2 linked regions of the Nothobranchius furzeri genome follow. The protein of the gene in region 1 purifies or fractionates together with the protein of each later gene. This does not show direct contact. Links are inferred from orthologs where the notes say so. Each region holds a gene or a part of one and is shown on either strand. Other genes may lie near its edges.

What was found. The genes of interacting proteins can lie anywhere in the genome.
Region 2: the proteins of phf12b (region 1) and gatad1 purify together in Homo sapiens (affinity purification with mass spectrometry; 7 studies listed by BioGRID and IntAct, with this or other methods). This does not show direct contact. The link is inferred for Nothobranchius furzeri from reciprocal best matches to the Homo sapiens genes PHF12 and GATAD1.

What each region holds. Positions count from the first base shown.
Region 1 is NC_091753.1:61,665,442-61,669,635, forward strand, and holds the start of phf12b (PHD finger protein 12), read right to left. Parts: upstream 2,804-4,194; 5' UTR 2,159-2,803; coding exon 2,093-2,158; intron 1,788-2,092; coding exon 1,606-1,787; intron 167-1,605; exon of another isoform or gene 156-166; coding exon of another isoform or gene 142-155; coding exon 69-141; intron 1-68.
Region 2 is NC_091759.1:18,088,356-18,091,872, forward strand, and holds gatad1 (GATA zinc finger domain-containing protein 1), read right to left. Parts: upstream 2,304-3,517; 5' UTR 2,077-2,303; coding exon 1,882-2,076; intron 1,520-1,881; coding exon 1,397-1,519; intron 1,323-1,396; coding exon 1,263-1,322; intron 1,175-1,262; coding exon 991-1,174; intron 918-990; coding exon 727-917; 3' UTR 504-726; downstream 1-503. UniProt on the Homo sapiens protein: Component of some chromatin complex recruited to chromatin sites methylated 'Lys-4' of histone H3 (H3K4me), with a preference for trimethylated form (H3K4me3).

The DNA of each region.
Region 1 (4,194 bases):
AACATCTCAAAGATGGATCACAACTTAACCTAATAAAAAAGAATCGTGCAGGCGCACCTGCAACTCACCTTTTTTCTAACGTTACAGCGATGACACATCCATTCACCTGGCGGGAGCATCTCTTCACTCAGAGGTGGGTTACTATAAACAAGCATAAACCATCAGGCTTGAAGGAGGAAATGATAACTGTCCATTCAGTCACGTGATTTAAACTGAATATCAAACCAAATCTATTTGAAAATGCACTCGGAGGCCTTTTCCCAGCAATGACTCCCCCTGGTGGACGGATCATGCCATTACAGTAGAATATGTATAAAACTAGTTCCTCCACATGAAAGCAGCTGATCTAGGAACTGCTCTATAATAATCAGAGGCATCTGAAACGCATCAGCGGTGGGACACGTTACCGTGCGGGGTTATCACGCATAGCTGGGAAATTCCCGTGTTCACAGCTGGTTTAACAGTTCAGCACAACCTGTCACGTCCCAGATCAGCCTGCCACTGACCGCCATGACCAAATATAGTCAAATCGCTTCCAGGTGACAGCCAAAACGCAACTCCTCAACCAGATGTGATTAAGCAGAAGTTCCTGATGCGCCACCGGAAGTGTCACAGCGATCAACAACAACAACAACAACCGCTACACACTCACAAAACCACACCGCCGGTTTAATGCTATTCGCAAACCTTTCGCCCCTCGGCACCGAAATGTAAAGGTTGGTAAGATGGCGCTGAAGAGAGCAGAGAAGTCGCCATATTGTAAACAGAGGCAGCCTCGACTCCATTTTTAGCAGCAGCAGCAGCAGGAGAGGAGGACCGACTGCAAGTCAACTCTGCCTCGTTTAAACCGCAGAGAGCAAACCTTAATAACACACCTCTGGAGCAATCATCGAAGTTACGATCAACCGTCTGGTTATAACAAGCTAGGTAATAGGCGTGACAACATCCCCCGGTGTGTGCGATAATGCAGAGGGAACTTTATTCGTTCACAGAGAGATTATGTGCTCAACACCAACAGGCAGCTGGTAGTCCCAGAGCCGTTGGGTCATAACGGAATTCCTGTAATTCAGAGCAGAACTGACTTCTACAGCCCCACCATGGTTAGCATCTACAGCCCCACCATGGTTAGCATCTACAGCCCCACCATGGTTAGCATCTACAGCCCCACCATGGTTAGCATCTACAGCCCCACCATGGTTAGCATCTACAGCCCCACCATGGTTAGCATCTACAGCCCCCCACCATGGTTAGCATCTACAGCCCCACCATGGTTAGCATCTACAGCCCCACCATGGTTAGCATCTACAGCCCCCCACCATGGTTAGCATCTACAGCCCCACCATGGTTAGCATCTACAGCCCCACCATGGTTAACATCTACAGCCACACCATGGTTAACATCTACAGCCCCACCATGGTTAGCATCTACAGCCCCACCATGGTTAGCATCTACAGCCCCACCATGGTTAGCATCTACAGCCCCACCATGGTTAGCATCTACAGCCCCACCATGGTTAGCATCTACAGCCCCACCATGGTTAGCATTCACCGCCTAGCTAAAGCAGCACCACAGCGCGCGGAGCTGCTGCTGCTAGCCAGCACTCACCAGCACTGTAGGTGGAAAGCTGCGGGACAGTGGTCACAGCAGAGCAGGTCTCCCCCCTCCCGGCAGCTGTCGCAGGTGTCGTGGTTGGTGGCTCTGCCGCTCCTCCGGACGTCTCTCACCAACTTTCGACTCCTCTTGTCCACGTCTTCGGACTTTGGAGGCGCGAGTAGAGTTTGGATTTGCTGTAAAATGAAACCAGGGCGGTTACATTTACACAGGAAATTTAAAAACGTAAAAAAATGCAGGTTCTATGACCGAAGACTTGGTTGTTTATTAAAATAAACAACCAAGTCTTCGGTCATAGAACTAAGCGAGAGACACCACCAACTTGAGAGCACATCACAAACCCTAACCAGACTTTACTGACCAAGTCGCTCGTAAAAACGCTATAATGGCCATAACTACCCTAAGTAAAACAACATCAAACAACCAGAGTGCTAGAAAAGCTCAATCTTTCCACTGAGGCCTTCAAACGTAGCAACCTCACCTCCATTAAGCCCCCAGAGGTATCCAGATCGTACACAATCGTCGGAGTTTCCATTTTGTCCCACATTCATTCAGAAGCAAACGCTGCAGGAAAGACTTTGAAGTTTGATCTCCTTGAGATACACGGCAGTGAGTGCTAATCCCGCAAAAATGTTGAATTCCTAAAGATTGTGGCCAGCGGCAAGATGGTTAGCTATCACTAGCTAGCTAAAAAGCTAACTACGACGCGCAAGACGTCAGCCAGTCAAGGTTGTGAAGCTAACGGGCTCGGTCTTATCAACAGAAGAAGTCAGAGAAAGACGCGAGCCTGGTAGCACCACTTTTATGTGCAATCACCGAAAATACATCCAGTATTTGATGATCAATGGATATTTGCTCATGGCGACAAAATCCATCGGCGGCCTAGCTGGCAAGCCATGATTCTCGCTTCTGGTCCTGCAAAAGGGAGCCCTGTAGATCTGCAAACCCCTCCGCTCCCATTGTCCACAGAATAAAGAACCAAACAATCCACTTTGAAGTTCGGCGTGCCTCGGTCCAAAACACAGCTTCCGAGCGCGTTTAGAAAATGTAATACTCGATTCAAGGGTGTGAAGATGCAAATTTAGATGTTATTGTTGTGGGGAACGGCTGTGCATCTACACGGGCTATTAGCAACATCCTACCAGTTGGCGCAACCGCGAACCGCCAGACGCGCATGCGCACTGGTAAAGGAAAGAAATGGACAACATTGTAACGATACTAATATTGTAATGAGTGTAACGAAGTGTGAGTCCGTTGTAGACCATTAAAGGCTCTTGCAGCAGTTAAAAAAATTCAAGCCTCAAAACACACAAAAAAAGGTCTTTGAGAAAGTGTAGGCGTTAAAATAAAAGTAAAGAAATGAAGCTTCAATTTATTTTCATCTATTATACTTTCAGCTATTTAAACTCATCAATGAATGTTTAAAATGGTCAGGAAAACCTTTGCTTTTGGTTGTGCGCTCAAACACGCGGCAATACGGTATTGTTCCTTTGAGTTTCTTCAAAATAAAATTTCCGGGTTACATTATTTAGATCCATAAACATGAACCTCAGTTTTCATGTTTATGTTTAGCTCACATATAATACTTTTATTACACATATAGTACTTTTCAATTCTACATTGTGGTCAATTTCTTGCTGAGAAAGTGTAATTGCTTCAGTACAATGAAATTGGAATAATTAAAAATAATTGAAAGTGACCTAAAGTGGCATTTTAAAAGTTCTTGTCAGCTCATGAAAGAACCTGTTACCTTCACTGTCTTTTTTTAGTGGAATGGCAGAATCAGCAGAAATAGGTTGCTGAACTTTTCTGGAAAAGGCTTGGTTTAGGAAAGTTTTCAAAGAAAAACTTGATGTAGTAGCTTTGTTTTGTTTGTGTTACGTTTCCTGTGCGATGTGAAGCAGAACGGGCTGCTTATATTTTGAAAGTAACTCATTCGCGATGTTACCGTAACTTCCGTTTCTGTTAAAACTGTTTATTGAATCGCTGAAGAAAAGATTCAGAACTTTTCCACACAATAAGCAGATTGTTGGTTATTAATTTAGAAAACATCGGGACGGTTTTCAAACTAAAATTAATTCGAAACGAATGAATTTACTTTTATTTTACTTTTTAAACTAAAGGAAGGACAATATAAAGCTCCAAAAATGCAACATTTAAAAATTTGTATATTTTTATGCAAACTGTTGGGTGAAACTCAGACAATGCAGAAACTGGTCGTCCTTGGTCTGGTGATGTTTCTCTGCTTCACCAGCAGAGGGAGCCACCGCCTTAGCGTTTAGCCGGATAGGGTTATGTTTTAGTTGCTTTGCTGATGGAATGATTGTGATCTCTTTCTACAGTTTCTGGTTGGGCCTAGTTGATTTTATCCAGAACGACTTGATTTATTAGCTTTAAATATGTTCATAATGATTACATTCAGTGTTCAGGCTATCCATTATCACTATGTTTTTTATTTTGAGGAAAGAGTTTTATTATTCAATAAAAAAGGCGGTTCATAACAAAACTCTTGCTCACTCTCTTTCTTAACTGCTTTTCATCAGCAGGGTTGCAGGGGGCTTTCTAACTCCAGCAGTCATTGAG
Region 2 (3,517 bases), on another chromosome or scaffold:
GCGTTACACAGTGTATTAAGCATTAATAAAAGCTCGCTTAATTAGCATTAACTATTAAGTGTCCTTAAGGTTGGGACAAAGGGAGGGGAGGGGGTGTCTGCTTAGTAATGCATGACGTAATATTGTTAACTTTAATAGTTTATTAATGCAGAAAGTAATGTTAATAAAGGGACCCTTATTGTACAGTTTTACCAGTTTATTATTCACAAGCTTGGTTTTAATATCTGGACCTGTATTACATTTGATAGACACGATTAATTAAACCATTTTCTATTTATAAATTCATAAATATTGCATTCAGTAAAATTGAAAAATACATTTTTTGTAATTGATTTATTATAAAATAAACAAATCCGTTTTAAATTATTTATTGGTGTTTTTAAATCTATAGAATGTAAATAAGAAGTAAAAACTAAACATTTCATTTCCAAATAACAAAATAATATTATTTGCAGGATACTGAAATTCTTGCACAAACTTTCTTCAACAATAACAGGCAAAACTGATGCTTGAAGGGTTTTTTCACATTTTTTTATTTGCAAATTTATTCCAATATTGCAGTTATGTGTAAACAACTTGTATACGCCGTCCATCTAGTATCAAATTGCAACTTTCCTTTATACTGAAATAGTGGCTGCCGTCCGCAACCATTTTCTCTATGTTACATAAATGTACATTTATCTGTTTGACAACAACAGGCAACAGGCCAAGTCCACATCGGTCCTGTTAGCTCGCGCTGCTGACAGACTCTTTGACAGTAAGAGTTGGTGTGGATCCTATGTGGGTCCAGATGTAACCCTTTTCAGGACATATGGGGATGGTGGGGAATGGGGAGCTCTGAGACTTGAAATACTCCGATGGGGCGTGGCACACAAACTCCAAGTATTCCATCTTTCTGGGTAGATCCTCCTCTGGTCCTGATAAACATAATAAAGCGAAATAAGATAAATCACTCACAAAAAAAATCCTTTATTTAGCCACAGTTCTTACCGACGATGTACGTTCCAGGGTTAAATTGATCGCTCGAGCTGGCCTGAGTGGGAATGAGCCACGTCAGTGCTGCACTTTTCTCACAGTACTGGTCCTGCACAAATCCTCTGATCTGAGCGTAGTACGGCTTTCCATCCTCCTCATCTATCACTTTGATCACATCGCCCACCTGGTAGTAAACGCCCTGCAAATACAAACACAGGATGGAAGAAGAAAAGATTAAAGTATCATCATTACGATGCCTTTTAGTTTAATACGAATCAGAATCATACCTTATAAAATATAGATTCTGATGTGATGATTGTTGCTACGGATTCTGGTGCTTTGATAGGCTGCGAGGAAATAATTTGGATGAGGTCAAATAAAAGATATCAGAAATAAATACATTAAAGAAGCAGAAACTTACATTTTTGAGCTTGAAAATGTGTCTTCTTCCTTTTCCTTTTGTTGACACTTTTTTCTCAGAAGCAGGAGCTTTGTACTTGGTGCTTCTCAGCCGTGCAGACCTCCTGTGGATTTCCTGTTTGGACTACAAATGGACACATTTAAATATTTCTGCTCCTGATGGCATTTTTTCAGCAGAAAAAAAAACTATAAATCAGTTTATTTTAATTAAAAATATTAAACTAAATGGTAAAATTATTTTATTAAAAAAATGACATGAAGTATTATTTTCAAACTATTTTATTCCAGTTTACTTTCTAGAAACATTTTCATGGCCACCAGGGGGCGCTGTTGTTACACCAAGACACTACTAAAGAAAAGCAAAAACAATGATGTTATAGTCATGTGTACGCTTTCTAAAAATTAACTAAAATAAGACATAAAAACTAACAATTCCTCATGAACTCTCGGATTTTGTTCGTGGCGTTTCTCTTCGGTGTTTCTGACCTGCTTGGCCCCGCCGTTGCTGGGCTGTGTGATGGTTGATATGGAGGAGGGTCCCGAAGCTCCCCCGCCGCCGCCGCTACTGCTGCTCTTCCCTGTGCAGTTGTTGCACAGTATTTCACCCTGGGTGCCTTTCTTCCACATTGAGGAAGAGTTCGTCTTACAGACAAAGCAGCACGGCTTCAAACCCAGAGGCATTTTACCGGCTAGAGAACGATGCCTCCGTACGTAAAAACGATCACAACAGAAACGCAGCTGCTTGGCTTATTACCAGATCACGACCGGATGTAGCTTTAGCATATTTCGCCAACGATTATCAAACAAAAATAACCGTAAAGACATCAAAAAGCCTTAAAACACAACGAAGTTAAAGCAGCATTATTTATGTACTGACTTGTTTCTACTTTCAGCGCGGAGGTTCTTCTTCAGCGTTTCCTTTGTTCTGAGGTCGGAAAACTATTGAAGTCAAGCGCCGCCTACTGGTGTGGAGGACTGCGTCGGGCGCTGGGCTGGGGCAGCTAAATGTGAGTCAGTATTTCCTTATTATCGTTGTTAAAATAGATATGAGTGCATGAACAACAACTTTGTGTTTTTTCAGGATTAAAATAATAAACTATTGATCACTAGTATCACTCATTCACATGTTTAAAAAGTTTGGATTGATATAGGAATTAACTTATTGAGTGCTGAAGCAGCGGCCTTCTTCTTCTTATCATTATTATTACAATGGGAGATAACCGTTTATTTGATTATTATCTGTTTAACAAAGTTGTTACTTTCCATGCCTTTGATTGTATCTTTTTCACTCTTTATTTTTACAGGTTTTTGCTGATTGAAAGACTGGCTTTCCCCACTAACAGACAAATAAAACGTCTTCTACTTTAAATTATTTAAATTATTAATATTTTTATTGTTAGTAGTAGCTAGTAGAAGTAGTAGAAGTAGTAGTAGTAGTAGTAGTAGTAGTAGTAGTAGTAGTAGTAGTAGTAGTAGTAGTAGGAGGAGGAGGAGGAGGAGGAGGAGGAGGAGGCAGAGTAGTAGTGGTGGTTGTTCCTGTTTTTTAATGTATTTCATATTTTTTACAGATTTCCTTAAAAGTTTTTAGAAAATTGGTATAATCCTTTGAGGAACTAAAATAATGTTAATTACTTTTGTTTACTTTTATAAACAATTCTGCAGTTTATTTTACTGTATTCTAACAAACACATTTTTACACTAGGACCTGTGATTCATGGAGAATAGAAACAAATGCAAACAAAATAAAAAGAGTTCCATTTCCTTTGCCTCACTATGGCAAAAATAATGATAGAGTTTATTCGAGATTATTCATTTGTATATTTAAGTATATTATATTAAATTATATTATATTAAATATAATAGTTTTAAACAAGCTGAAAGTTGTTTCTCTCAAGCATGGTTCTGTTTTGACCGTTTCCCAAGAGCTGGTTGGAATGATTGTCAGGTACTTTTTTAAAATACAAATATAGTATCAGGGTAAAATTTAATTACTATTTATTAAATTTAATCTAAATATACAGTGTTGTTTGAAATAACATCTTTTGTGCTGGGTTATACTCCTGCTTTCCAGCGGGAGGCGCTGTTTCAACGTAAAGACCACCAAAGAAATTGAAGACGGCGA